6 linked regions of the Mus musculus genome follow. The main gene of each other region encodes a partner of the protein of the gene in region 2 in a complex. Links are inferred from orthologs where the notes say so. Each region holds a gene or a part of one and is shown on either strand. Other genes may lie near its edges. The genes, in order: Smarca2, Arid1b, Phf10, Dpf1, Smarcc2 and Dpf3.

What was found.
Region 1: Arid1b (region 2) and Smarca2 share a complex: the UniProt entries of both Homo sapiens proteins name them as parts of the neuron-specific chromatin remodeling complex. The link is inferred for Mus musculus from reciprocal best matches to the Homo sapiens genes ARID1B and SMARCA2.
Region 3: Arid1b (region 2) and Phf10 share a complex: the UniProt entries of both Homo sapiens proteins name them as parts of the neural progenitors-specific chromatin remodeling complex. The link is inferred for Mus musculus from reciprocal best matches to the Homo sapiens genes ARID1B and PHF10.
Region 4: Arid1b (region 2) and Dpf1 share a complex: the UniProt entries of both Homo sapiens proteins name them as parts of the neuron-specific chromatin remodeling complex. The link is inferred for Mus musculus from reciprocal best matches to the Homo sapiens genes ARID1B and DPF1.
Region 5: Arid1b (region 2) and Smarcc2 share a complex: the UniProt entries of both Homo sapiens proteins name them as parts of the neuron-specific chromatin remodeling complex. The link is inferred for Mus musculus from reciprocal best matches to the Homo sapiens genes ARID1B and SMARCC2.
Region 6: Arid1b (region 2) and Dpf3 share a complex: the UniProt entries of both Homo sapiens proteins name them as parts of the neuron-specific chromatin remodeling complex. The link is inferred for Mus musculus from reciprocal best matches to the Homo sapiens genes ARID1B and DPF3.

The regions. Positions count from the first base shown.
Region 1 is NC_000085.6:26,677,572-26,682,393, reverse strand, and holds part of Smarca2 (probable global transcription activator SNF2L2), read right to left. Parts: intron 4,079-4,822; coding exon 4,012-4,078; intron 3,321-4,011; coding exon 3,210-3,320; intron 524-3,209; coding exon 281-523; intron 1-280. UniProt on the Homo sapiens protein: ATPase involved in transcriptional activation and repression of select genes by chromatin remodeling (alteration of DNA-nucleosome topology).
Region 2 is NC_000083.6:5,333,452-5,338,273, reverse strand, and holds part of Arid1b (AT-rich interactive domain-containing protein 1B), read right to left. Parts: intron 3,311-4,822; coding exon 3,214-3,310; intron 1,750-3,213; coding exon 966-1,749; intron 1-965. UniProt on the Homo sapiens protein: Involved in transcriptional activation and repression of select genes by chromatin remodeling (alteration of DNA-nucleosome topology).
Region 3 is NC_000083.6:14,957,988-14,963,601, forward strand, and holds the start of Phf10 (PHD finger protein 10), read right to left. Parts: upstream 3,274-5,614; 5' UTR 3,208-3,273; coding exon 3,124-3,207; intron 1,539-3,123; coding exon 1,432-1,538; intron 1-1,431. UniProt on the Homo sapiens protein: Involved in transcription activity regulation by chromatin remodeling. Belongs to the neural progenitors-specific chromatin remodeling complex (npBAF complex) and is required for the proliferation of neural progenitors.
Region 4 is NC_000073.6:29,313,525-29,318,346, reverse strand, and holds the end of Dpf1 (zinc finger protein neuro-d4), read right to left. Parts: intron 4,209-4,822; coding exon 4,158-4,208; intron 4,065-4,157; coding exon 3,945-4,064; intron 2,724-3,944; coding exon 2,611-2,723; intron 2,134-2,610; coding exon of another isoform or gene 2,104-2,133; coding exon 2,022-2,103; intron 1,867-2,021; coding exon 1,796-1,866; 3' UTR 761-1,795; downstream 1-760. UniProt on the Homo sapiens protein: May have an important role in developing neurons by participating in regulation of cell survival, possibly as a neurospecific transcription factor. Belongs to the neuron-specific chromatin remodeling complex (nBAF complex).
Region 5 is NC_000076.6:128,461,824-128,466,645, reverse strand, and holds part of Smarcc2 (SWI/SNF complex subunit SMARCC2), read right to left. Parts: intron 3,666-4,822; coding exon 3,580-3,665; intron 2,955-3,579; coding exon 2,873-2,954; intron 2,780-2,872; coding exon 2,687-2,779; intron 1,490-2,686; coding exon 1,420-1,489; intron 1,210-1,419; coding exon 1,140-1,209; intron 1-1,139. UniProt on the Homo sapiens protein: Involved in transcriptional activation and repression of select genes by chromatin remodeling (alteration of DNA-nucleosome topology).
Region 6 is NC_000078.6:83,368,439-83,373,260, reverse strand, and holds part of Dpf3 (zinc finger protein DPF3), read left to right. Parts: intron 1-2,596; coding exon 2,597-2,757; intron 2,758-4,822. UniProt on the Homo sapiens protein: Belongs to the neuron-specific chromatin remodeling complex (nBAF complex).

The sequences.
Region 1 (4,822 bases), on a different chromosome or scaffold from region 2:
CCCTCCCTGTGGCGTGCTGTGGTTGAACACCCTACCAGTCAGAAAAAAGCAGGCATATGGCAGAGGCTGGGATGCCCCCACGTGAATCTAGATTCAGAAGGCAAAACACAATCCCAAAATGAGACCCCATCCCACCCACTGAGCAAACAACATTGTAGAGTTTCTGTAGTCCGGAGTTTTCACTTCCTCATCACAAAGTGGCAAATTCTACCCCCCCTGCAACCCCTCCCCCCGCTTTCATCCCCCCTGCCCCCCATCCCCTCCCCCATTTGGTCAGTACCCTTTCACCGGTCATGGCAAATGGAGCATTAAACCACTGCTCAAATGTGCTGCAACTCTTGAAGATTGTAGGGAGGAGGAAGTTGAGGAGGGCCCAGAGTTCCGGAAGCTTATTCTGCAGTGGGGTCCCAGTCAGAAGGATCCGCCTGGGGGCCACATAGTGTGTGTTCAGGACCTGGGTTAGCTTGCAGTGGTGATTCTTCATCCGGTGGCCTTCGTCCACGATCATGTACTTCCACCGAATCTGCAGGACAAAAGAACGCACCAAGGTGTGGCTGGGAAACAGACGTACAGTGGCTTCCAAATGGCTGCGGGCATGTGTGGAAAAAAGCAACACAGAATCCAGTTTGGCACAAGACACAGAATGATACTCTTTCCCAACTAATGGAACATTGCCCATGCCTGGCCAACGTTAAAGCATCAATGTTTCTCCCAGGACAAGTGATTCTAATCCACCTTCTAGAAACAATATCTGTGCTTTCCAATGCTGTGATGTGAAAGGGTCATTTGACACCCCCCCCCAAAGGGGTCTCAATCCACAGGTTGGGAAACTCAGGCCTACACAAAAGGGATATTGGAAGAAGAAGAAAGAAGAAGAAAAGGGAAGAAAGAAGAAGGAAGGAGGAAAAGAAGAAGAAGGAGGAGGAGGAAAAGAAAAAGAAGAAGGGGAGGAAAAGAAGAAGAAGAAGGAGGAGGAGGAGAAAAAGAAAAGGAGGAGGAAGAGGAGAAGGAGAGAAGGAGAAGGAGGAAGAGGAGGAGGAGGAGGAGGTGAAGGAGAAGAAAGAAGAAGAAGAAGAAGAAGAAGAAGAAGAAGAAGAAGGAAGAAGGAAGAAGGAAGAAGGAAGAAGAAAGAAGAAAGAAGAAAGAAGAAGAAAGAAGAAGAAAGAAGAAGAAAGAAGAAGAAAGAAGAAGAAAGAAGAAGAAGAAGAAGAAGAAGAAGAAGAAGAAGAAGAAGAAGAAGAAGAAGAAGAAGAAGAAGAAGAAGAAGAAAGAAGAAAGAAGAAGAAGAAAGTCTGCTGTTCCACTGTCTCTGGCTCTGGGGTGAAAGTCAGAGGAAGCAGACAGGCAAGTGTGGCCTAATTCTCACCTCCTCATTAGAAGTACCAGTGAAGCCAGGGAAAAGAAGGAAAACCATCAGCCAAGCTGGGCTAGCCAAATAAAAGAAACTCCCAGCATTCCCTGCACCCTTTTCTCTACCAGCACCAGCTGTGTAAGACTGACCAAAGTCCTGCAGTCAACTTGCCAACAGCAGAGAAAAGATTAAAAAAAAAATGCATCTAAATAGATGTTCTAAATCTACTTTCTTCCTCAGTGGAGCTTGGGAGGCAGCAAAGGAACCAGAGACCTTTGATTCCACCACCAAGTAAGTACTAATTAAGTCTTCTGCTTGGAAAAATTACTACCCCTTTCGGGAGTACCATTTCTCCAGTAACAAATAAAAGCATGGCGTCTCGTTACGGGGTGTCTCTGGCGACTTTTGAAATACATATGCACAAGACACAGATTTTTTTTTTTTTTTTTTTTTTTTTTTTAGGGATCTCAAAGGTACACACACATTCCCACAGTAATATTGGAGACACGTCATTTCTGACACTGCCAAATTCATCTCGGAGCATGAGGAACTGGAAGGCGGCGGTTGCTGTCAGTGCCGTCTCAATTATTAAGTGTCCCCTGGGCATGCATTTCCTTTATGTTATTTCCTATGATACCATGAAGGGAACACACAGCTCCCAGAGCAAAGGTTTAATGCAGAGAAGGAACAAAACTCAGCAATGGGGATTCTGTTCAATTCTGACCATAACTTACTTTTAGATTAGACTGATTTCCAAACACCATGGGGTAAAAGAAATTACCACGGGGAGAGGGGGGGAGGAGGGTGGGGAAATTAAGTTTTCATGATTTGTTCCAAGAAAGACGGTACTTCCATCTTCCTGTGTGAATACATTAGGAGACAACATGATATAAATGGGAAGAGAACCTTCTCATTTGTGGCTAAAGGACAACTTTGGACATTCAAATGAGGAGCCAGGGAGGGTCACAGACACAACTCTTTCTCTGTGCCAAAGAAATAGCCACACGAGCAGCCCTGAGTAATTTAAACAGTAATGGCCCATTATTTTTTACCAGGAAAACCTGAAAACAGATAAAGCACACAAGCTTCAGCTTGGAGACAAGCTCTGGTGGGGGGCACCATCTGGAGAGGTGCCTATGAGAGAGAGAGAGAGAGAGAGAGAGAGAGAGAGGCACAAGAGGAACGAAGCCCTGCTGACAGTAACCCAGGGCAACAAAAACAATTATTTCTTTCCAAGCACATTCAGAGCTGCTGGAGAGAAGTGGAACCCAGGTGAATTTTCTTAACAGATGTGTAAGTGGGGCTGGAGAGATGGCTACTTTTGCAGGGGAATCGGGGTTCTATTCCAAGTGCTCATATAGAAGCTCATAACCCTCTCTAACTCCAGTCCCAGGGGGTCTGATGCCCCCCTTGGCCTCCACAGGCCCTGCACACTTGTATGTCTGCAGGCAAAACACTCATACTCATAAAACAAAGAAACAAACAAACAAAAAAAAACCCCTAAACAACCCAAAAAGATGGGAACTCACTACAAATGACCAGGAAAGGGCCCAGGGTACATCAACCGAAGGCATTTCTTTCTTCCCCTCCTCTTCTTCTCTCAGTCCCCCCACCCCCCGCCCCAGTCTCCCTCTCTCTCACACACAAACACACACAAAATACCATACAAAAATATTAAATCCTGTGACCAAGATTTCAGGAGGAAAAAAAAAAAACCTGAAGAGGGAAAAAAAAAAAATCCAGCCATCCAATGACCAAATGATACTGTTGAGTATAATTTGCAGGATACTTTATACTCCAGTGAGATGATCCACAATTAGAGATAAAAAAAAAAAAATTAAAGAAAAAAAAACCATACCTTTGCAAGAATGTGCTTGTCTTTTATAATGTACTCGTAAGTAGTCAGGAGGACATTGAATTTGCCACTCCGTAGCTGGGGAACGAGGGAGCGTCGCATGGCAGGGGTACCCTGAATGGGAAGAAAAATACATCGATTACCCACTGGAAGCACATAGGTGCGATTTCTCACTGTTCAGAGCTTAATGGAGCCTGGACAGGCGATGTGCACATAAATGTATTATCATATAGTGATCTATTATCTCTGAAGAAAGTGGAAGCTAAACCACACGTATCTTGACCCTTTCCAGGTCCTTACAGGAAGGTTTCCCACTTACGACTGAGGAAGGGGAGAGAGAGAGAGAGAGAGGAGGAAATTGCAGTGAGCTTGCAGTAGTCGTGGGGAACCCGCTGCTTGGCTGAAAGGCTCTCTTTCTGTGGGAGAGTGCAGCAGGCAGCCCGGTGCCCCGTAATTGCCTGCCAAGGCAGGAGGAGCTGTCGGCACAGTAGAGGCCCACAGCAAGCCAGTCAGCAGCACACAGAAAAGTGTGATATTTGTCATTTGTATTACTCTCATCAGAAACCTCGCAATATGATAATTAACAATTTTCTTCTGCATTTCACTATCTGAAAGTAATTATGGTTTATTACAGTAATCTTCTTGGGATGATTAACTCTCACTGTTTAGTACATGATGTACATGACAAAACTTTACAGCCAGATACAGTTCACAGATGTGCACATGCAAGGGAGAAAACATAGCTCAGGGTTTGTGTTTTTTTTTTTTTTCTTCCAGGTTTATATAGAAACACAATGCTCCAAACCTTGTAAGAAATTTTCACCACAGAAGGAGCCCATTTGTCAAATTCATATGTCCAGTTAGACAGAGTCCTACAAAAAGAAACAACAACGAAAAACAGTAAAAACCCACACACGTACACACACATATATAAAAGTCAGTTACTGGAAACCTGTTACTTATTTCTAGCCCTTGCCCTAAGAGGGGCTAGAGAATATAAACTATCCCAGACACATATTTATTTTAAAGCTATGCAGGTAAGAGGCAAGTTAGAAATAAGCTGCCACAAAGCACGACAGTTTTACACTTCATTTAAAAAAAAAAATCTCATAAGAAACAATTCCCAAGTATATAAAGACAGTGAGCGATGTAGCAGACTCCTCCTATGGTTCCGAAACCCAACAACGGCTGGAGGGTTTGAGATCTATACAGTTCTGGAAAGCTACTCAAATCAGGAGAGAGAAATTACAAAACCACCTGAAAACAGTAAATAGACCTGTCAAAGGACGCAGGGAAGAAATACCGAATCTTTTTTTTTTTTCTTATTCCTCCAAAGTGAAACCATAATATCCAAGTCAGCCCTGAAAATATAGTTTGAACACAAAAGGGCATGTGAACAATATGAAGGCAGATAACTCAGCCTTGGTCAGAAGAGAAAGAACTGAAGGAAAAACAAAACAAAAAGCCTTGTTCTTCCTGCACGTGTCTCGGGACTGCGAGCCACAACAAGGTCTCAGTGACTAAAGGCCGAGACACACATACACCGAAGCACTGGACTAAGGGAAGGTGGATATGAATAGCTCATCTTTACTCGGCGTGTTGGCTACAGACCAGGG
Region 2 (4,822 bases):
AATACCACATAAATATATGCTTTCAAAAAGTAGATATGTGTATCTATTTAAACACACAAACATAAATAGCTATTTCATTTTCATTGTTTATAAAATAGGGCTCAGTATCTATACGCCATCATCTCTACAGCTCCCATATATAAAAGATACCATATTTTTCTTATTATGTATCATCTTAATGTCTAACAACTATAAACATCTTTAATATCATTAATTAAATAGTTTTCATTTTCTAATCACAGCAAATGGTTTTACGCCAACTGATTCCGAAATCTTTGAAAAAATTTTTCTTACACAACGAAGAGCTATTATTTCCTCTGCTGTGTTAAAAGAACTTCAAAATGAATGCAGAAAAAGCTGTGTTAACTACCGGGCATTCCAGACCATTAATTAGTATTCCCATCGCCTCGCAGAGGGTAAGCGAGCAATATTAGCATTCAGCTGAGGTTAACTCCTTGGCCTGTATCTGCCAGTGTGGTGTAGATTACATCAGTTGAATATATCATAGCAGAGACCATCCATATATCATATCTACCTCCCTATATAGCATAGCCAGGTTTCTATTTTCCCCATGGGAATTCATCTTATATTGTCACTCCAGTCGCTGGCCTTCAGTTTCCTTGGCCTCCAGTGGATCTCTTAAGCATCCACTGTAGCAGTCAAGCAGCTTGGTTATGCCTGAAGCTCAAGCCAGCACATAGCATGTGCCACTGAGGAGCTCTGGGCCTCGTCCCTGGAGTGCTAGTCTGTCCTTTGCACCTCAGAGGATCATTTAGATTCAGTCTATTCTCTGGCCTTTTATTCAGATGAGTGGCTTTTAACCAATGCTCCCATATATAAATAGCCTAATAATTTGTATTATTGAGATTCTCATCCAATTGAGATATATGGGAATTATGTCTAAATTAAAAGTTCCAGATTGCAAAACACAATCCATTTCCAGAACAGTCCTTTCAAATTCTTACCAATATCTTTTGAGGTAATCTTTCGCCTTTGTTTCAGGATTGGCTGTGATGCTTCTACGGAGCCAGGAGGAAAGGTAATCTCCCTTCTGATTGGTGGAGGCTGTGGGGGGGGCCCGGTGACCTGGGATGTGGGGACTGTGGGCATGACCTTCTGCATCTTCATGGTGGGCAGGAAGGGAGACTTGCTTGGAGACATGCGACTCTCCAGGGAGCGCTGGAAGGAGGCGGGGCTGGGTGCCCTGGAGATGTGGTTTGGCAGTGACGGCGGCGTCTGGTAGGATGACTGAGGTGGGCGCGTGATGGGCTGCATGGAGGCCGAAGATGACATGTAAGGCTGGCGCTGGCTGACGTGAGAAGGCCACTGGCTCTCGTGATTGATCCTCTGCTCAGGTACCATCATATCATCTGTGCGGTTCATGCCTGGGTAAGGGGGGGCCTGTGCAGGGCCGCCCGGGCCTTGCCTGCTCTGGTAGGGATAAGGCATATCGTTGCGTGTAGCCCACATGTTCTGCTGAGGCCCCTCGCTGGAGGATGACTGCATGGGGCCCCCCATCATCTGAGGTGGGATTCCGTGTGGCTGCATCTGGCCTGGGCCCTGCATCCTTTCTCTGTTGTAGGGGTAGGGATATTGTCCCTGGATGGGCCTTCTGTCCGGGCCAGAGTAGGAGCCTCCATACTGGTTATACATCTCCTGCTGCTGGCTGCCATACTGCATGTTGTACATGTCTCCCTCGTGCCGCTTGGCTGGAGGCCCGTACATGCCATCCATATGACGTTTGTAATTCTGAAATCCATATAAAGACAAATCGTACTCATGCTCTCTGAGAGGTATAATCACACACACTGAAATTATGCAAAACAGTTATTACTGGGTAGACTGTTCATTTCAAAATGGATATGGGACGCTCCTATGTACCGACAAGCACTATCAGTTTAGGCTTGTATTTCAGTATTGCCCCATACTCTTAGGAGGGGTGCCTAGGTTTGTTTTCATGTGTAAGAAATTTCCTGTGACCCCTCTCCTTGGGAAACATGGGGACAGTACAGCACGGCTGTCCACCACGTCAGCACACATGGACAGATGGGACTGAGAGCGCCCTAGGAGCCAGGCTGCTCTGACTCATGAAGCAAACTGGATATTTCAGGGCCATTCTGGGAGGTTCTGGGCTAAAGGGACCCTAGATCTCAATAGCTGGCAGAGCCTCTATGCTGACACAGCTCCTGGACGATGGCACCTGCTGCCCATATCTCAACTTGTGCCCAGTTCTCCACAAAGCCCTTACTGGTGCCTCCACACACTCCTGCTCAGCTCTCCTCCAAGAGCCTCTCTCACCACTGCCCACAGGTGGGCGGGAGATGCCGAGGGGTGCACTGTGTTATTTCAGTTAACTTCAAACTGTTCACGGCGAGTTACCTCACCAACTGTAAGGATGCACTGTGACTTCTGCAAGTTAGGTTTTACAAGACTCAGCTGTGAAGGATGACAGCATGAACTAGCCTATTACAAAATATGCCATTAATTTATCATTTTAAAGAAAAAATTAGTGAAAGTTCTTTAAGGGGGAGTCAGCTATGCAGCAACTAGAGTACTGCCCACCAAAATATGTAGTATTAATATCTTATTTTAAAGAGCAGTCTTGGTCTCCAACAGTCTGAGTTTCTTTTATTGTTTTATTTGAAGTATGGCACACTTCTTTCCTACAGTGCGTTTACTAAATAGCACACAGTTGTCCTCGGGCATCTGCAGAGACTACCTATCTTCAGGACCCCTGAGGGCCACATCCATGAACAGTCAAGTCCCTTAGTGAAGAAGGCTGGGGCTTGCTACAGCAGATACACACTCTTTGCCATTCAGTCACTTCAGATACGTCCTACAATATCAGTGAAAGCTACCCAAGAGCTGTGCCCTCTTTGCTGACTGAACAGCAGTGAGGGGTTGCACATGCCCTGTGCACTTGCCTTTTGACCTGTGGTTGGCTCATGGGTCTAAAACCCGTGGGCAGGAGGGGAGGGTAGCATAGACACATGTCTAGCACGCTGCACAGATTCCAGAATACTGCCTGTCAAGAGCTGTTTTTAACTTTCTGAGTTCAAAATCCCAGGAGTATTTTCTAGCTAGACCTACCCTGATGATTCAGTAAAGAGTGTGACTTTTGTTAGCTCTCCCCAAATCTTCACAAGAAGAACTTTGGGTTTCAGTCTCCAGCAAATGAAAGGGATAAAGGCCCATGCCCCCTGGCCAACTTACCGGCTGCTGTGGGTACAGGCCAGGCTGGTGTCCTCCATACGGTGGCTGTCCTGTGGGAGGGCCTTGGCCTGGGTACTGCTGTCCGTAAGCCTCATGCCTAGAGCAAAGTATTCAAAGACAACTTAGTTTCCTCAGGACTTGAGGCAGACACAGACAGCCCATTTCTAGAAGCTCTACCCAAGGCTCTGCCTCTCCCCACACACTGCTTTCAACAGCACAGGAGGCCACAGCTGTGCCCCAACTTCTTACAGAGATGGTAACACCCATCTCAGGAGGCGAGCCAAACTCCAGTTCAGGCTGTTGCTAACCGGTGTCAGGGATACCGGTTGGGCAGGCAGAGCCTTGTGTGTGCTTGTCCAGGCTTCCTTGGAGGCGGAAGCCCCACGCCCCGAAGCTTCCACCAGCAAGAGCCACACGGTGTTGTCATGGGAGCAAGAAGCAAGAAGAGACAGAGGCTCAGAAGCAGCATTTCCAGAAGTATCAGAACATGGATGATGCTTCCATCTTCTGCTTCCTCACTGAGGACACAGGGTTTAAAGCTATACGTCATGGGAGATGGAGAGATGGCTCAGTGGTTAAAAACACTGCTCTTCCAGAGGACTCAGGTTCAATTCCCAATACCTACACGGCAGCTCACAACATCTGTAACTCCAAGATCTGACACCCTCACATATACCATGTACATAAAATAAAAAAAAATAATAAAAAAGCTATCCTTAGCAGAGGGTTGGTCAAAATGTCTAAGTTCCTGACTACTGAGAGTCGGGAAGGCGACGGTAACATTGACTGATGGGAACGTCAAGTCCCTGCACAGAAACAGATAAATGGTCATTTCAACTGCTCCCACACTTGTGAAAGGTAAATGCCATAAAATTAACATGCTTAAGGGTGATAGATCTTAAACTTTGAAAATAAACTGGTTTAGGTTAGAAATACTGAATCTTGTGAAAGGGGAGAGTAACTGGGTTGAATATATTATTAATGTGATCAAGAAATGAAAATAGGAAAAAAAACAGATTGCCATATCCAAATAGACAGAAGACTCTAGAAGGAAGTTTAAAGAAAAGAAACCTAACTGACAAGGATGAAACTTAAGGTAGGCAGTAGCACTTCTCAGAAGACTGCTAATGCAGCAGAATGCTCTGCTATGGGTGAGCCAAAGCCCGGCCCACAGCAGGACAGCAAGCTCACTGGAGATTCCCAGGGGTGTCTGTCCTGGTACAGCTGCCTAATCTCATTGGAAAACAAAACAACAGAAACAAAACAGTAGCTCTTACTGGATCCTAAAACCCAAGCCAACTGAAGCCCTAAGCTTTGCACTAAGGATCCACAATGGCTGAACTTAACCCTCATCCCACACATCAGGCATCGGTGCTGTTCACTGAAAGCAGGGCGTACCAACAGATCCATCACATGTGATCAGGGTATGAGGGATAGCCAAAGCACTGTACACCGAGACTCACCCTGTCACCCTGGTAACCAGTGACGCTGCACTGGCTCCCAGAAGATACCTGACATGATCTCTCACACCCACCCCTCAAATCAAGTTATTCCCACTCACTGTTCCTCCCTTGGCTCTACCTGGTGAGAGGGCCTGAGTGTGGCTCCG
Region 3 (5,614 bases), about 9.6 Mb from region 2:
TCACATCACATCCAAAAGGTAGCTCAGAATGAATTAAAATCCTAAATGTAAGAGCTGCCTAGAAAACCCTATGTTAGCAACAGATTCTTAGACTTAACACTCAAAACAAAAGTTATAAAAGCAGACATTAAAGTTAGATTTTAGAAAGTGACACTATCAACTACAGGGGGAAAGAGCCAGAGTGCTGGGAATTACTTACAAACCTGATAAAGGAATTCATATGCAGAATACATAAAGGAGCCCCATAACTCATCAGCACAAAATAAAAGAGAAATGGACAGCTGGGCACAGTGGTGCATGCCTTTAATCTAGCTCTGTGAGCCAGCCTCATGTACATAGTAAATTCAAGGACAGCCAGAGAAACATACTAAGACCCTGTCTCAAAAAAACAAAAACAAAAACAAAAACAAAAACTGGGGTAGGGGTGGAGAAATGGACAGAGAAGTAAATAGACATTTCTCCAAAAACATAAATCAAATGATCAAAGAGCACCTAAAAAATATTCGGCAAGCACCACTAGCCATGGTATACAACACAGAATCACAGTGGGTGATCACCTTATGTCTTTCTGGACGCCTATCAGCAAAATGAGCAAAAATAATGTTGCAAGGTGTATTGTTGGTGGAAATGCAGACTGGTACTACTGCTATGGAAATGTATGGAAGGTCCTTAAAAAGTCTGAAGACAGAATCAACGTGTGGTACAGCTTTCTACTTCTAGTTATATACCAGAGTATTAAGAACAGGGGTCTGAATGCCAGTGTTCACTTCAGCATTAACTACCCCAGCCTGCAGGTGAATGAGCACAATGTAGCAGAACATACGATGGAATATTGTTCAGACTTAAGGAGCTCCAACACGATGAACCTTGAAGATACTATGGTTATGGGTAAGCCAGATAACACGGGGCAGGTACTGTCTGGTTCATACTCAGGGCAGGAAGTAGAACTGTGGTAACCAGCAGCTGGAGGCAGGAAGGGATGGGAGGTACTGGAGGGTTAGGCAGTTTGAGTTACTAAAGTTTTGGAAAGGGCCGAGAGTGATGGTTGTACTGAAATATACTCTTTATATATAAAAAGTGTTACAATGGTGAGTTTTATATACCTACTTTACCATAACTTTTTAACAGTTATCAGGAGTGAGACCTACTTTGATAGTATATGACTTTTTTAGAAGATTTGTTTGTTTGCTCTCTATACAGACATTTGTGGAGGCCGGAATGGACCATGAGATCCTCCAGAGTTTACAGGAGCTTATGAGATGAGATGTGGGGCTGCTAACCAACCTCCAGTTAAGCAAGCACTCTTAACTTCTGAGCCATTTCTCCAGCCAACACATATAATTTTTAATAACTGTTTCTGCTGCCTGGAATAGGCAGGAGAAGAAGAAGTGAGCAAAAGTCTACGAAAGTTACTACTGAACCTTAAAGTACCTAAGATCTTGACTTGAAGTCTCACAACTTCTTGAGCTGTCTCCTGAGCCCATTCGCCTCCTTTTACATGGATGGGTCCCATCATTTGAGTTATCTTCATTATCATCCTGTACATTTAAATGATTAAAAAATTAGAAAATTTAAGAATGAATAAAACTAAAATCTGACCTTTAATCGAAATGAAATTAAATTTTCAACTGTATTTTAAATGTACTCTGCTTTCACTTTCTTACCAACTAGATTGTGTTCAAACATCTGCTTTTTAGTAGCCACACCACTTTAAAAATCAAAGCAAGCCTTCCTATTTGAGCTGGGAAATAAATACTAGTAAGTTTCATAGTACCCTTCAGCTTACAACTGGCCCCCCGGAGGCGCATTTTAATTAGCTACTTTGGAGATGAAGAAGGACTGGATACAGGTTACCACGTCTAACTACATTCCTTTTCTTCTGCGGCAGAAATTCAACACTTTGTGATAAACTCATAGGAGATATAGGTTGTTGAGCCATTCCATTAAGGAAATAAGTAATCAAATGTTTTAAAAACAATTCATTACGTTAATTAATAGGCTTAAACTCCTATTTTTTTTTTAAATCAAGGTACTATAGCTCCTAACACTACTACTCTTACTATAAATTTCAATAAAGGCCCACGGAAGGGAATGAAAAGGCAGCACAGGCTAGCATGCCAAGTCAGCATGGCACTGCGGGCTGCCAGAGAATCTTACTGAGCACTGCCCTCCACCAGCTGTGTGCTGCAAGCTTCTCCCCAGTCCTAAAGCCTAGGTGGCTGATGCAAGGATGCAGTGAAGTGATCACATAAGAGCCAGGTAGCACATAGCTGTCTGATATATGTTAACGTTGTGATTAGCAGTGACTTTATATTTCATTATGTCTCCAGCACCTAGGAATTTACTAAAATTACTTTCCAAATTAAAAAAGAACATAGAAATCATTCCCCTTTTCACTCTTCAAGAATGAAATCAAGTAGACTTAATATTCCCTTTTAAAGCTAACAATCAAGAAGTTGAAAGATAATTAAATTTCTTAGTATGTTTTTCACTGTATTCATGGTCCATACTGGCTTGACACCGTTAATTTTAAGCACTATTTTATTAATTTGTGGACATTTTAAGGATTTCTGTATGTCAATACTTTTACTTAAAAACAATGATCCTCTCGAAAAGAAACAATAACGGAAGTTGACACAGAGTTTACCAGCTCACAACTGTAGGAATCCTAAGGGCTACGTTCCAGGTAAGGCCCTCCCCTCCGCACCATCCTCGGTCAGGACAGGGAGCCAGCAGCCCCCTGCGAGCAGTCAGAGACCCCACCAGGGAGGACCGGCACGTGGCGGGGGCCACCTCGGCTGGCCGGGTCTGTGGGTGTGAAACCACGTTCTGCCAACTCGGGACCCCGAGCGCACGTCCCGCTCAGCGTCTCCCCGACTGAGATCCCCAAGGCCGCCAACTTTTCCGACTTTCCCAGGCTGGGGGCGCTTCGTCTCAAGCACTCTTCCCGAGTCCCCCGGTCCCAGCTATTCCCGGACAACTTCCCACCCCGCCGCGCAGGTCTCCCCGACGTCCGCGCCCACTGTCCGCCGCACTTGTTGCTCCAGGACCCGCCGCCCGGTCTCCTCTTCTCTCCCGAGCCCGGCCTGGGCCGCTGCCCCTTGGGCAGCGCGCTCCGCTCACCTTTGGGGACTGCGCTCCGGGGGAGGCCGGGTCGCTGTCGCACCGCCCCGGGGACAGCGCCGCCCCGGGCCCGGCCGCTGCCATCAGCCCAAGCGCCCCGCGCCTCCGTCGTCGTCGCCGCCTTCGCCTAGTCCCAGCGGCCGCCGCCGCCGCCGCTGCCGCCGCTGTCGCGCGGGCCGCCCGGCGCCCCGGCCCCGCCCCCTCCGCCCGCCCGCCCGGGGGCCGGCCCCTGCCGCCGCGCGCCCCGCGGCCCGCCAGCGCCACCGCCATGGCCGCCAGCGCGCTGCCGGCCGGGACCCGCACGCCGCTCACGTCAGCCGGCCGCAGCTGCGCGGCTCCGCCGGCCTCGGCCGGGGCCTTGCCGCCTTGCCGCCTTCACCCGGCGCGCCGCGCCCGGCCTGAGCTCCGCTGGCCAGCCACCGCCTCGGTCCCGGCCCCACCCGGGTTCCTGGCCGCCTGGCGAGCTCGCTGCCGCCCCTTCCCTGCGCCCCCGGCCCGGCCCTCCGCGTCAGCCGCGGCTCCGCGCCGCCCCGCCCCGCCGCGGTCCCGCCCCCTCCCCTCCTCCGCTGCGCGTCAGCCGGGGGTCCTCAGTCGGCGGTGCCTGCCTTGTCCCCACCTGGGTCCCTAGCCCCTCCCCTCAAAGATGTGTCTTCACCACGCTTGTTCTCCAATCCCTCCCCCGTACCCAGCTCCTCCCCTCAGCCCGGGGTCGCCACCACGCCGCCGTGTCCTCCCCACTCCCGATCATCAGCACCTTAGCTGAGGGTCCCTACCGCGCGGTATCCTCCCACCAACCCCACCCCTACCGGTCCCCAGCCCCTCCTCTCAGCCCGGGGTCTCCACAGCCGCGGCGACCTCCCCTTCTCCACCAGGGTCCTCGCTCCCTTCTGTAAATGAAGGATTAGTGTCCTCAGCCCACTTCCTCCTCTCTCGCAGCCCTTAGGGTCAACCACCCCAGGAGCTCCGCCTCCTCCCTCTTTGAGATCCCCTTCTCCTGAGTCCTTTCTGACTTCTCCACCCCACCTCTCCATCTTCACTCCACACACCCCAGGATCCCCAAGGCGCTCTTGGCTCATTTGTTCTACAACTGCTTCTCCTGTGACCTTGGCGTAGTGGCCCCCATGGCCACGGGAAAAGTCACAGCAGCACTCAGGTTGAACGGAACCCAGTCAGGCAAGGAGAACATAGGGAAGGTTCCCAAAATCATATGACAGAGTCAGCACAGTCACCTGCAGGACACAGGATTGGGAATTCCTGGAAATGGAAGCCAATTGTCCAATGGTGTTTGGACAGGATTTATATTGATGTTAGTGCTTAGACTTCGCCACAGGAAAGGCCGTACCCCACCCTTTGAAAAGAGCACCAGGAAGACAACAGGTCCAATGGACAAAGGCAAGGGGCAGAGAGGCAGGCCTACATCCCCCACCCCCCATCCCCTCCACTCCCCACAACACTTCCAAGAATGTAGGGGACCAAACCAGAAAAGGTGGTGGTGATCTAGCTCTTGGATTTTAGAATTCGAGTTCCCTTTCACAGCCACAGCTTCTAGCTCCAGAAAGTAAGCCCAGCACTTCTCTCCTCCTTTGAAATATATATAGTGTATCCACATGAAGTATAGAGCCGACAAATAATGTAGAGGTGAAGGGAGTGCCTGCCATAGAGCAGGATGTCTGCAGCTTCAAGATAAAGTGATACACAAATATATATAACTGAACTTAAGGGCATCGTAGGTGGGAAAGAGCATACTTGCAATTAAAAAACAAAAAGATTTTAATGTTATAAAATTTGAAAGTTAAGAAATGAGAGAGGGGGCCGGGCGTGGTGGCACATGCCTTTAATCCCAGCACTCGGGAGGCAGAGGCAGGTGGATTTCTGAATTCGAGGCCAACCTGGTCAACAAAGTGAGTTCCAGGACAGCCAGGGCTATACAGAGAAACCCTGTCTCGAAAAACAAACAAAACAAAACAAAACAAAACAAAACAAAACAAAAAGAAGGAAAAGAAAAAGAAAAAAGAAAGAGAGAGACGAGAGACAAATATAGTATATATAATGTGGAACCTGGGATTTGTCTAGTTCTTTCCCTGATGTAAAAAAGTACTCTGACCAAGCAACCTATGGGAGAAAGAGTTTCTCTGGCTCCGTTCAAGTGTACATACAGTCCAGGGGTCACATCACCACCCAGAGTGCAAAGAGAATGCTCTCAACTCAATCTTTCCTTTCTGTGTGGTCCAGGATCCTATACCAGGCTCTGGTGCTACGCACAGTGGTCTTGTCTTGCCACCTCAATCTAATCAAGCTATTCCACAAGCATGTCCAAAGACTAAACGAACCTAGATAACCCCTCACAGGTATTACAGATGATTCTAGATTCTCATCAAGTATACAACTGAGATTAAGTACCGCCTGTTTCAAGACAGAAAAGGGATAACAATTTGGAAAACAGGAAGTATGTTCAGGTTTATCCTTTATTCTAGTTTGGCTTGAGAACAGG
Region 4 (4,822 bases), on a different chromosome or scaffold from region 2:
TCTCCCTCTGACTTTGTACATTTTCTGCTTGTCTCTCCAAACAGCTGTCCACTTCTCCCTCCCCTGGTCTTGCCAAAGCCTGGCTTTTTTTTTTTTTTTTTTTCCTTTTTCTTGTTTTAAACTATTATTTACTGGACTAGTCCTCCACCCCGTCCCTGGTCCCTGTCCTCTTCCCTCGGAATTCCTGGGACTCTCTCTTCATCTGTGTATCTCTCCAGCTTTGTCCTTTTTTTCCATTCAGTACATTTGTGGCCTCAGAACCATCTTCCTTCCTGACCATTGCCCTGGTTCTCCACCCCCACCCACCCCCACCCCACCCTGCCTGTCTCCTTGAATCCCTGTGTTTTGAGATGTCCTCCTGTCCTCCACTTTTAACCACACCCAGGTCAGGGAATCCCAAGTGACAGCCAGCCATGCTGAGGTGCTATCTCCCAAACCCTAGCCAGGGAGGGGGCTGCCTTCTGGTCTCTCCAGCCCTCCCTTCCCCCCAGTCTTCACTCCCACCTCCCTCTTTGAGCTGCCTCCCGCTGCAGCTGCAGCAGCCCGTTGCTATGGCAACCACAGCTGGCTGGGTGGGAGCCCCTCCACCCCATCCCCCTCTTCTCTCCAGCAAGACAGGGAGGAGCTGGGACAAAGCCACAGGGAGGCATGGTGTAGGGGCAAAGAGGTGGGGGCCAGCCACAGTGGCTTCTACCCCAGTGAGGCCCCTTGGCTTCCCATGTTGGTGACACCCCAAAAGAGGTTAGAGATGGAAGCAGTTGTGGGCAGAGGGGTCAGGCCCAGTTTAATACACAGAACAAGTTAATTCACAGCAGAGGCAGGCAATAAAGGAGACTTGGTGGCAAGGGGGGTACTCCTGGATTGGGGGCAGACTCCCCCAGACCCTCCACCTCCCCCACTTGCAGTCTCAATTTCCCCTTTTAAAAACCCGAACAACAAACACACACAACCACGAGAAACAACCACACCCCCTTGCCACCCCCAAATGGCTAGCGAGGGGGGCAGGAGGCAGCCCAGCCTGGCTGGGTAGGGAAGGAAAGGGGTGGGAAGGGAGAAAGGAAAAAAAAAAAAAAAAAAAAAAAAAACTGAGTCCATTGCAATCTGTGCTTCTCACTGCAGGGGGCTGGCTGCCTGCCTGCCTCACCCCACCCGCCTCCCCGGCTGCACGCCCCAGGCCTGGCAGGCAGGCACCACGCGGGCGCAGGGCGGGGCTCTCAAGGAGGAGGAGGAAGAGTTCAAAACCATAGTTCACATGCAGTATCCACGGTGGGTACTGAGGAAGGGGTGGTACCCACCTCAGATGGGAGTTGAGACCATTGCAACTCCAGAAATGAGGTGGGGAGGCGCCATTCAGGAAACTGGTAAAGTCAGGTCCCCAGCAGACACTCAACAGTGCCTCTCCACCCAGCCAGGCTTTATAGGACTCTTTGTATATATTAATTTTTTTCCCTTTTTTTTCCACGTTTTGTCTTTTTCTTTAGAAAAAGGCTCTTTCCGTGCTGCTGGCTAGCATCCACTACCCCTCTATGCCCGCCCAAAGGCGGGGGTATGGCTTTGAGGAGAGCAGAAGCCTGGTGCCCATTTGTCAAGGGATGAAGAGGGGGGACAGGAGGGACCCTGTTGGACCCAGCCACCCACAGGGTAACATTCCACTTGCAGAGGGAGAACACCTTGCCCCCCCCCACTCTGGGCTTCACCCCATCCCTTCCACTGGGGACACCGGGTGGGGAGCGCCAGGAGCTCCAAGAGGCAGGAGATAGCACCACCCAAAGATCCTGGGGAAGCAGAGCCGGGCCTAGGTCAGGGTGATGTAAGCAGAGGCCTTTTCCTTCAAGTGCCGGAGACAGAGGTGGCAGCTCCAGCTCCCTGCGGGGGAAGCCAAGAGACAAAATTAGACTGGAGCCCGATGGAGAGATGAAGAGCGCCCCCCACCTGTCCCCACCCGGAGCACATGGTCTCTGCCACCAGGAAGACAACGTTCCAACCCACCCACCCCATGTCTCGCCCACCCCTTCCCTCACCTTCCGGGGGCTCCGCCATGGGAGGGCTCAGGCAGTACATGTGGTAACCTCGATCGCAGTCATCACAGAACAGCAGCTGGTCCTGGGGGGTGAGACCCGCCCAGCTGGCACCCTGGGGGCACGGGCACCAGAAACCGGGGTGGGGGGCTGGGGCAGGGGCTGGGTCCCAGGGGCCCTTCTGAGAAAACTGGCTCTGCAGCCTGTACTGTGGAAGTCCACTGGCCTTGTCTGACGACTCACGGAGTCGGATTTTGTACTGAGTGATGCTCAGCGGGCCAGATACCAACTCCGGAGGTTCAAATCCTGGCCCTACAACCTTCTGACCTTGGTGACCTCAGGCCTCCTTCTCCCTCCCTGAGCTCAGCATCTTCTATGTGTAGTGGGAACAGGAGCACCAGCCTCAAGGGAGGTGGGGAGGTGTCATGGGAAAGAATATAAAAGAATAAGGACGGTGGCAACCGTACTGCACGCTAATGCTGGTCACTGGGAGTTATGAACAAGGAAGACTTTTAGGCCTCATGGGCAGAGTGGCAGAGGCAGGCCGGAAGGGAAGCTGGGGATGTGCCCGGGAGATGGGGTGGGCACTCACGTCATTCTCCGAGGTGCCACACAGGCTGCAGGACTTGCATTCAATGCACTGCCAGCGGTAGGTCCGCACAGCCGCGGTCATGTTCACCGTGAACTGTAAACACGAGGGATGTCCTGGGGGTCGAGGGGCAGGGATGCAGTTAGTGAGTTGTCATATCCCTGGTGGCTACTGACCCCTGGGGAGGTAATGGCTCTATCCCAAGCCCTGACTCTGAGGTCAAGGCGAGCTTTGTGGTGGGACCCTACCCCTGAGACAGACATCCGGAAGCTGGACTGCGTGGCAGGCAGCTGTGTGTTGGCCACCACAGTCTCCTACTCAGCCACCATGACAACCACACTTTGCTCCCCAGAACACCATGGCAACCGCATTCCATTACCCACAGTGCTGTGGCAACCACGTTCTACCACCCACAACACTGTGGCCACCACAGTCTGTTAGGTATCGCACTAGGGCAGCCACATTCCAATACCCACAGAGGGGCTGCCAGCCCTCCTGCTAACCACAGCAACGTGGCAGCCAACTTCTGCCAGCCAGGACACTATGGCAACCAAGCTCCATAACAGGGTCCCCACACCTTGCTTCGCTGAGACCAAAGGCCAGCCCACACAAGGCACCAGCAAACAAACTTCCACTGACAATGCTTGCCGTGGGAATTTGCTCAGTCATTCTCCCACAGTACGGAGACACCTGTAGCCACTGCCCACAGCACTTCCCACAGAGCCTGACAACCACTACCCATATCATTCAACAGCCACTGCCCACAACACCCAACAGTTACAACTACATCCCCCCGAGCCAGACACCAACAGCCCACACAGCCTGTCAGCCCACAGCGCCCAGTAGCCACAGCTCCTCACAGCCACAGTCCACCAAGACATAATGACCACATTCTACTGTATTAAATCGCAAAGACAACCCACACTGTAACGACCACAATCCATTACCCACGATGCTGATGCGACCAGTCTTACTACCCAGGAGGCCTCCATGGAAAACCACATTATATTAACCACAGTTCTACAGAACACAATCCTGCTATTCCCACTACCTAGGCGGTGCAATTCATTGCTCCCATAGCTCTGTCCCCTACCCACAATGCCTCCCTAACTTCTCTCTACTCTCCACCCGGGGAGAGCACAAAGCCATGGCACCTCGTACTGTTGGTTCCTCCTGTGCCAGCAAGTCCGCTCAGTTTCCCACAGACCCCGGCAGCAGAGGCAGTCCCAAGGACAGGCGGGGTACAGCCCTCGCTCCCCTTGCCTCCCATTCCCTAAATCCAGATTCTGAGATGCCCTCTCCCCGCCATCTTCCAGAAAATATGTGGTGAGTGTCACCTGATCGCCCACAGTCCGCACAGGAGATGAGGTCCTCGGGACACCCAGTCTTCTTGGAGCCCCCCAGGCAAAAGTCACAGTAGCCATTGGGGATGACAGTGCCATCTGGTGCTTTCTTGGCTGAAAGACAGCAGGCAGCGGTGGGCACAGGACAGGTGAGGCGTGCCAGTCAAAGACTGCTGCAGAAGTCGGGGAGGAGGGAGGTGCCCCTACCTGTGTGTTTCCTCTGTGCCTCGGGGACCCAGGCCAATTCTTTGTAAAACTCTGGGGGTGGGGGGACAGAAAGGGGCTCTTACCATAGGCAAGGTCCCATCTGTCCCCAGCCTCAGCCCCAGGGGCGGGACCCTTGGCCCAGGCACTGGGAAGTAGCAAGGAAGCTGGGGGAGGGGCAAGCCATTCTCACCAGAACCCTAACTCTTGGGGTAACCATACGTTCTATTTGGGTAAAAGTCTGAGAGATAGGTATAACCTTAGCAAGAGCCCATGGCTGCCCCCATCATGTAGGGGGCACCCCCTTAGGCACCCCTAAGTAAGTTTGCCTAGGCCAACGATTAGCAGACAGTTCTGCAAAGCCTAATCAGGGCATTTTTACAGCACAGAGGGCTCTGGGCCAGGCCTGAGGTTTTTGGAGAGGCTCTCTTTGAGGGACAGGTGAGAGATAGTCCACTTCCTCCGTGGCTCAGCTGTCATCATGGCATGGAACAGCCATGGGTGGGTGTCAAGGACCCTGGGGGCCACCGACCTTGCCCTGGATCCTAACATAGTAGAGAAGGAGACGAGGGAGGTCTGGGGTGGGGGTGGGGAAGTCATCTACCACCCCCCTCAGAGCTCTAATTGAAACAATAAATCAGACCCAGAAATATTATGCCCGGGCAGGG
Region 5 (4,822 bases), on a different chromosome or scaffold from region 2:
TTCTGACCTCTGCAGACACCAGGCATTCATGTGACACACATACATACATAAATGTGGGCACTCACACACATAAAATTAAACAAACAAACAATGTTGGTGCTGGCCACTGCAGTGTTTCAAAGGTACAGAGGATCTCCAAGTCTCTCTGGCCATGTTACCTAGCTTAATTGGGGAGTACCAGGCTAATGAGAGACCCTATCTTAAAGAAAGTGGGCAACGTTCCTAAGGATGAACTTGAGGTTATCCTCTTGTCCCTGTGCATGCTCGCCCATGCACACAAAAAGACACACATTTAAAAGACAATTAGAGCCAGGTGGTGGTGGTGGCCTATGCCTTTAATCCCAGCACTCAGGAGGCAGAGGTGGGCAGATCTCTGAGTTTGAAGCCAGTCTGGTCTACATGGTGAATTCCAGGTTGGCTGAAATTACATAGTGAGATCCTGTCTTGACGGTGGTACACATCTTTATCCAGATCTTGGAGAACAGAGGCACATGGATCTCTGTGAGTTCCAGGACAGCCAGGGCTGTTACATAGAAAAACCCTATCTTGAAAAACTAACAAAGAGCAAACACTGGGAACTGGGCGCTGGGCATGGTGGCTCTCCTAAGCAATCCAAGCACTGAGGAGGTAAAGGGAGATGTTCTAGATGACTTTGGCTCTAAGATTTGGTCTCACAACAAACAGACAAACAAACAAAACACCAAGAAGCATTGGCTAGAGAGATGGCTCAGTATTTAAAGCAATTACTGCTCTTGTACAGGGCCCAGGTTTGGTTTCCAGCACCCACATGGTTCATAACAATCTATATCTCTAGTTTCAGGCGTACAGACATACAAGCACGCAAAACAACCGTACACATAAACTAAAAATTAAAGCTAAAAAGACAAAAGCGAACAAACACACACACACAAAGCCAGTGGGTGGCTCACGCCTTTAATCCCAGCTCTCAGGAGGTTCAGGTACAAGGACTGCTTCACGTCTGAGGCCAGCACAATCTAGATAGCAAGTTCTTTACCAGCCTGGATTACATGGCAAGATTCTGTATCCCAAAAAAACCCAAATAAGTAAATAAACAATTGACTCAGGCCTCCTTGCTCTGCCACACGGACCTGTGTCTGCTCTTGAGAACCCGTCCTCACCTGTCAGGATAGTAGCCCCAGTGCAGAAGAACCTGTTTATCCCTCTTCATGACTGGCCGTACCCATTCCTCTGAGGATAGAAGAGAGAGATATGCTGAAGGGAAAAATGACTGGACACAGGCTCTAACTAAGCATTCTGCTGATGTGCAGGAGACTCAGTAACAGGAATTCAGGATTTCGAGGCTCATAACCATAGGTGTTATATCAGGATGTAAGTAGTCCTTTATGTGACAGAAAGCCCAAGTTATCACAGCAGAGGCCACAAAAACCCAAGTCTCACCTTCTTCTAGGTTCCCTGGGACAGGATACACAACATGGGAGGCATTGCTCTTATCCTCAGAGATGGTTCCCTGGAAGCACAAGGAAAAGCAGTAAATCTACTTCCTTTTGAAGTATTCTCTAGTAGCCTTTAATCCCAGCACTCAAGAGGCAGAGGCAGGCAGGTTTCTGAGTTTGAGGCCACCCCGGTCTACAGAGTGAGTTCCAGGACAGCCAGGGCTACACAGAGAAACCCTATCTCAAAAAAAAAAAAAAAAAAAAGAAAAAGAAAGAAAGAAAATAAAAACAACTAAAATGTAACCAGATCTGCCTTTCAAATTACATCTTTCCTGAAGTGGTATTAAAATTAGTTTGTATTTTCTTGCAACACCACCTAAGTGGCAAAGAAGCACAGTATTAATGATGTGTTAGCACTGGAGAAAAGCTAAAGACTAACCCTCTGCACAGATGTGTAGTATACTGTCTGTGGTCATGCACAAGCTACAGGTCAACCACAAGTGTCCCTTATTACTCTCTACCAGTCACCTACTTCAGAAATGTGACAGTGAACTGGGGGCTTGTCTTTTCAGCTAGGCTGGCTGGCTAATGAGCCCTCAGGATCTACCTGCTCCTCCCTCCTGGCTGGCACTTCTAGGTATGAGCCGTAACACCCACATTTTCCATGCGTTCTGGGCATCCAGACTTCATGCTTGCACAATAAGAACTTACTTTACCCATTGACCCATCAGACCTATAGGAAATTCAAAGTGGGCTATGAGTGCCTATTCCATAAGATCTGCTTATTTAAAAGGAGCTCCAAAGAGCAGAGATTTATTGAGGCTGTTTTAACAGTATCACTTGACACTCCAGGCAGACCTGAACATACTATGTAGCCAAGGGAACTTTGAACTCTTGATCCTTCTGTTTCTACTTCCCAAGTGCTAGGATACACCACTACAGCTGATTCCCAGGTTGGATTTTTCTGAAATCAGGTATCTCTAGTTCAGTGGAAGACATTCTCTATCACCCAGGTCAAAGCAGGGTGAAAGAGCAACCCTTGATAAACCCACCAAACCTGAGGAATGGAGCAAACAGGACAAGCGCTGCTCAAAGACTTAACTCTCACTCTAACCAGAAAGGCCACAGCGCAGGAGTGTGGGAAGCTTGTATGGTACTACAAGCTGCTTCCCAACAGAAACACTATCAGTCATGAGAAACCGTGCTAACATTGTGTAAACCAGTCACCTACTTCAGAAACCTCTGAGTTACTCACCCTGCCTCCCACTCACCTGGTGTCTCTTAACAATGTCTTTTAATTTCCCTAGCAGTTTGGGCTCAATTTCTGGGCAGAGGAAAATGTTAGGTCGTGACAGGCAATTATTCTGTGAAGAGGAGACATAGACAAGATGAGGAAGAGCTATTTTGTACTCTTAACGAAGGGAGGGAAATGGATGGGGGATGTGCTTGTATATTACCTGTACCAAGGACTTCTCAATGGTCATGAACATTTCCACATTGCGGTCCATGCGTGATGGATTCTGGAAATCGTAACGCCGCCTTATAAAAGGATGATAATCTAGTAAGTTTATATCTGGGGAACCTTTTTGTTTCCTTACTTTCTTCTTCTTCTTCTTCTTCTTCTTTTTTTTTTTTAGTTTAGTTTATGTTTTTATTTTATATGTTTGGGTCTTTTGCCTGCTTGTATATCTGTGTGCCATGTGTGTGCAGTGTGCCTATAGAGGCCAGAAAAGGTCATGGGATTCCCTGAGAGTGGGGTCACAGAAGGGTGTGAGTCATGTGGTTGCTGGGAATGGGACCGAGTTCTCTGGAAGAGCAGCAGGGTTCTTAGCCACTGAGCCATCTTTCTAGCCCCAAAGGTATATAACTTCCTAGTGGGAAATTAGGAGGTATTCTTGTAACAAATTTCACTCAAATCACAGGGAACCCAGTTGTTCTGGTCTCAAATGCGTGAGTCACTCCACGCTTAGTCCAAAAGAATAAGAACTCATTCCCAATTCATTCATGCTTGGAGACTACTTTGGCCATGACATCTATTCTTCTGATCTATAAGAGACACACAGAATTTCTACATTGTTCTTTCACTTCAGAGGGACCCCAGGAAATAAGAGAAAGTTCTTTCTTAACTAAATATGAAAGGCAGAGAGAGAAAAGGCATTCTCACCATCCCTGGTCACTCTTGAATTTGTAGGCAGCTGCAAGAATATGGCAGAGGGATCCTCCTGCTTTGAAATCTAGGAAACATTTGATCTACAAAATTGAGACAGGGAAGAAGTATGTGAAAGTTACATTGTACATACATACATACATACATACACACACACACAAGACTATAAAGGCAAGTTTATGCAAATCTAAATTCCAGTGCCTCCTTTTAAGGAATTACATTTACTTACCTATTTATTTAGAATTTCTATCTCTCTGTATGTATGTGTATGTGTTCTATGTATGTGTTTTATGTATGTCATATGTGTATGTATGTGTTCTATGTATGTCGTGTGTGTTCTATGTATGTATGTATGTGTGTATGTATGTGTTCTATGTATGTCATGTGTGAGTATGTATAGTATGTGTGTATGTATATGTGTGTATGTATGTTATATGTATGGATATGTATGTGTATATATGTGTGTGTGTGTAATATATATGTTATGTGTGTATGTGTACACTAATGGACATCACAGGCTGTCGGTTCTCTCCTTCCACCCATGTGAGTAGTTCTAGGTACTTTATCCACTGGGCTACCCCTTCCTTTGTGTTACTAAAGACAGAATTCAGGGCCTCTCACAGTTTAGACAAGTGCTCTGTTAGGACTATACCTCCAGGATCCCTTTTCTTAAATTTGTTGTTGTTGTTAAGTTTCCTAGGCTGGCTTGAATCAGTAATCTTCCTGAACCAGGCTTCTAAGTAGTGGACACTCCAGGTGTATCACCATATCTGACCTAAAGCCTCACTTTTTTTTTTTTTTTTAACTTTTTAGGGCTTCTTTCTTCCTTCCTTTCTTCCTTTCTTTCTTTCTTTTTTATTGTTGATGTTGTTTTTCGAGACAGGGTTTCTCTGTGTAGCCCTGGCTGTCCTGGAGCTCACTTTGTAGGCCAGGCTGGCCTCGAACTCAGAAATCTGCCTGCCTCTGCCTCCCGAGTGCTGGGATTAAAGGCATGCACCACCACACCCGGTTTAGGATTTATTTCTTCTGCATGTGTGAGTGCTTTTCCTGCATGCCCATGATGCTCAGAAGGCATCAGATGCCCTGGAACGGAAGCTAGGGATGTTTGTAAGCTGCTATGTGGGTACTAGGAATTGAACCTAGGTCCTCTGTGAGTGCTCTTAGCCACTGAGCTATCTCTTCAGCCCCCAAGAACAACCATGAAAGAGAGAGAGAAACACTGCAGGACTAAACCTGACAT
Region 6 (4,822 bases), on a different chromosome or scaffold from region 2:
TCTTCAGAGGTGACAAGCGAGAGGAGCCTTGTTTGTTTCCCAGGGGCTTGCCAACGATTAAATGACAACAAATGAAACCTCCCATGGCTGTATCCCCCAATTGTAAGATGTTTGTTTTAAATCCTTTGGTTGGGGGCTGGTGAGATGACCCAGTGGGTAGAGGCTATTGCTGAGCAAGCCTGCCCACCTCAATTCCATCCTTATTGGAGGGCCAGAGCTGCTTCTGCAAAGTTGACCTCTGACCTCCACACAGTGCCCTGCCCCCACACTCACACACTAGTAATGGTAATGATAAATCTTTAATAGGATCTGACCCATTGACTTAAAAAAAAAAACCAAAAATCCTGGTTTCTAACAAACAGTATGGAATGTGCTGTGATTAGAAACCCGTGTATTGCTGTTGGGATTGTGAAATGGCCCAGGAACTGTGAATAACAGAAAGATACTTTAAAAAAAAAATTTCCAGATGGTCCACCAAATCTACTCTTGGGCCTGAACTCAAAATAATTGAAAGTATAGGCTCGATATTTGTACCTGTATGTCTGATTTCTCTAGAGAGTATAGCTATATTCATAGTGACTTAAGCATGAAAGCAATCCACGTCTTCATTGACCACTGAGCTGATAAGCAGAGTATGGGATATAGAAATAGTCTAAAACAGATGGGTATTCTGACATACGTTACAGCATGGACGAATCTAGAATGCTGTAATATGCTAAGTGCAATATGCTGTCCTCAAAAGATCCAAATCCTACGAAGTACTTGGCTAGTCAAAATGACAGAGGCAGACAGTGGCGGGGGACTGGGGGAAGGGGGAAGAATGACTGTTTAATGCTTGTTTAGTTCTGCTTTTAGGAATGAAGAGTTCTGGAAATGGACGCTGCTGTCAGTTGTACAACATAAGAACTCTTGATACCTGTTATGATTTGAGTGTAGCTATTCGCCATGGGCCCTGAGTTTGGCACTTGGTCCCCAGGTGGTGGTATATTTTGGTAGCTGTACAACCTCTGGGAGGGAGGGACTGGCCAGAGGAAATGGGGCAGACATTTATAACAGTGCTTCAAATGACTTACTCAGTTCTCCAGTTTGCCCTCACAATCTTTGTGGCCCCTCCTCTTCCTGCCTTCATGTCCCTCCCCTTCCTGCCTCCACGCCTCTCTATCCACAAGGCTCGGGTTCTCCTGCCAGAGGTTATGCTGTTGTATTTGGGTTTCTCTCTTAGCTCTTGCCCTAGATGCGCCTGTGTTTTATATGTTAGGTTTTTGCTTTCACTGTTTTTTTTTTATCTGCACAATTATATCATTGTCATGGGTTGTGTTTTTTGTTTTGCCTTGACATTATGTTTACTGAGTAAGATCATCACTTGTCCAAGACTATCAAAGATTCACAGATATAAAATTGACTGTTTAGTCAGATCACCACCCTACAAATCAGGATAGATTTTTATTTGTGGGTTCAACTTTGGGCATTGACTTGCTTTGAGTTCAATTATTATTATTATTTTTTTTTAGTTAAAAGTTTGTGTATGTGTGTGTGTGTGTGTGTTTATGCCACATACATGGTGCATGCCTGTGGAGACCTGAAGAGGACATTAAATTTCCTGGAGCTGGCATTACAGGTGGTTTTGAGCTGTCTGAACTGGATACTAGGAACCAAACTCAGGTCTCCTGGAAGAGCAGTGAGTGCTCGTAACATCTGAGCCTTCTTTGTGGCCTCACTATTATTCTCTGACAGTTTTATACACCCGATGCATTCTCATCTCTCTTACCCACTACCACCTGTCTTGTAGCTTGCTTACCTCATCAGCCTTCCATATACAAGTTCCTGTCTCACAATCTTGTCTCTTGGTTTTGTGACCTACTATGTTTAACCAGGGCTATGTGGCCATGGGTGTGGGGCTCTGCACTGGGGCCTAGTGGACTCACTTTAGTAGGCATACAATTAAAGACAGTGACTCACCCTTCCATAGCATCCCTCAGCAATTTCCAGGGGAGGGGAGTCCCACATTAGTTTAAATGCCTCTCTTGCTTGTTTTTTGAGCAGAGAAAGTTAATTATCTTAATCTTTGGGCTTAGAAGATCTACACGTGCCCTTCCTCATATGCTTTTTACAGTGAATGGCTGTACCTCCATGGGACATCTCTGCTCGTGTAGTCTTTATCCTAAATGCTTTATTCTAAATTCTCTGTCATAATGGGAGTCTGGGTGTGCTTTGCAACTAATGAGAACAAAGTGTGGGGAATGCTAAAAGAGAGGGCTCTGGCAGCTGGATGTTCTAAGTCCTAAGCAGAACATTGCTATAGAATGTCCCACCTCCAGGGACATCTTAGTACAGGGTTGGTCACGTTTACTGGTGGTTTGCTCTTTGGGGCCCATTTTAAAGAAGTCTCTAAGTGACCTGGTAGATTTGGGACAGGAAATGGAATCTGGTAGAGATTTGTTGACAATTTGTATTTTGTCCCTTAATAGGGCTCTTGGTGCTCATTGGCTGATTGCCATAAATGCAGCTCTTCTGGAGCGACGGTAGGGGACCGCTTCCCTCCGGTTGTGTTTCTACTTCCTCTGGTCTCACCCCATTGCTCTCTTGTTTCCTGAAGGCTTGGGGACCAGTTCTACAAGGAAGCCATTGAGCACTGCCGGAGCTACAACTCGAGGCTGTGCGCAGAGCGGAGCGTGCGTCTCCCCTTCCTGGACTCGCAGACTGGGGTGGCTCAGAACAACTGCTACATCTGGATGGAGAAGAGGCACCGCGGCCCAGGTAAGTCATGCCACTCCCAGCATGCACAGCGGCTCCAGCTTGGAGGAAGGAATACTATGGTGTCTAGGAGTTCACACAGCTGGGCCGGGTTGGGAGTTAGATAAGCTAGACTCACAGTGAAGAAATTTAGCTGTGTATACAGTTTATCCAAGGGACCAGACAAAGATGATGTGAGGTGTTTATCTCAAAGAAGTCCAAAGAAAGCAGTCTTCATTTTCCACCCTCGGGTGTTGGCTAAAATCTGTAAATGTGTTTAGCTGTGGGTGAGGCTTAGTTTTGTCATCAGAACTCTGTCCCCGAGGCTTGTCGTCTGTGGAGTGTGGATAATCTCATTATTTACTACACGGAGTTTATCAGGATTAAATGGAGATATCTATAAACAACTCAACATACTATATGCTCTAAAATGTTGAATATTATCATTGTTATGACTGTGATTCTAAACTTCTGGGCTTCTAAGAATAGAATAAAACCCACTGGTGTAGATTAGGGAGATAACTAGTTCTAGAGATGCATTTTTCTGTGGTCATATTTACTTATGTTAAAATATGTGTGTGTGTGCTCACATGCATGTGTCTATACCTGTTTCCATGTGTGCATAGGGTGCACGCATGCATGCATGTGTGGTGTGTTACATGTGTGCATGCAAGTACCTTCCTTCCTTAGTTGTTCTTCATCCTGGTTTTTGAAACAGGGTTTATCACTTTTGCCGGGAGCTTGCTGATTCAGCTTGGCTGTCTGGCCAGTGAGCCCCAGGGATCTGCCTGTTCTCCCACCCTCCCCAGCTCTGGGATTAAAAGTGTGTGCATTTATATGGTTTCTAGGGATTGAACTAGGTTCCATACTTTCATGGTAAGCACATTGCTGACCGAGCCATCTTTGTAAACCCCCTCTCTTTCGGTAAGGTCTCACATAGGCCAGGCTGATCTAACTTTCTACGGAGCCAGTGACGACCAGGAACTCTTCCTGATCCTCTACCTCTCAGGCTGGGGTTTGTAGGCCTCTGCTGCCACTCCTTCATGAGTATAGTCAACAAACCTTTTCTGTTGTTTTGAAAAGTTTTATATATATGTAAAATTCAGATAATGGCAAAATAAAATCAGAATCCGCACGGCCAAGCTCCACAACAGGCAGCTCATGGCCGACTGTCTCATCTATGCTTAGCTTTCACCTTTCTCCCTGACTCCGGATGACTTTGAAGTAGATCTGGGACAGCACATCATGTCACGTATAAATACTCTGGACTTAAAATGTCAAACTAGTTGGGTGCCGTGGGACATGCCTGAAATCACGGTGGTTAGGAAGCTGAGACAAGAGGATTGCTAGTGTGCCTGGGATGCAGGACAAGCCTCTGCCTGAGAGGACAAAGGAGAAGATCAAGCCAGCCCAGGACCACTACCTAATCAAATGGTCAACATTCATTTCTCCTGCTACCTCTACTGTAAGCTAGGGTCCAGACAGGATTCCTGCATTGCAACTGTGACACTGCCCTTAGACATCTGCAGGCTTCGCTGAGACTCTTTCTCCCTTGTATGTTATTTGTTGAAGAAACTGGGTTGTTTGCACTGTAGGGTTTCCCAGAGCTCAGATTTGCTGATTGCATCCCCATGGTGTTATTGCTGTGAATTGGTAATTAGGTCTGGAGACTTATTCAGGCTCTCTCTCTCTCTCTCTCTCTCTCTCTCTCTCTCTCTCTCTCTCTCTCTCTCTCTCTCCTCTCTCTCTCTCTCTGGCAAAAGCAGGTGGTAGTTTGGGCTTTCACCAGGAGGCTCATGCAGCCTGATTATCCCCTTTCACTCACGTTACCAGCCCTTCGTGATAACTATCCAGATTCTTATTCCATTAAAGAGTTGCAAAGAACCCCCCCCCAAAACCAACCAACCAAAAACCCAGTGTGGCATTTGATTAGAGGCCATGGTGGTTTTTCATTTATTAGCTCTACAGCCTCTGTAAAGAAAAACATCCCCTCATTAAAACGTTTGGTTATTATGAGGTACAGCTGACAGGAGATAAAGGATGTTTCCCTTGTATTTATTTACCAGTTTTCAGAATAATGAGTTGGTTC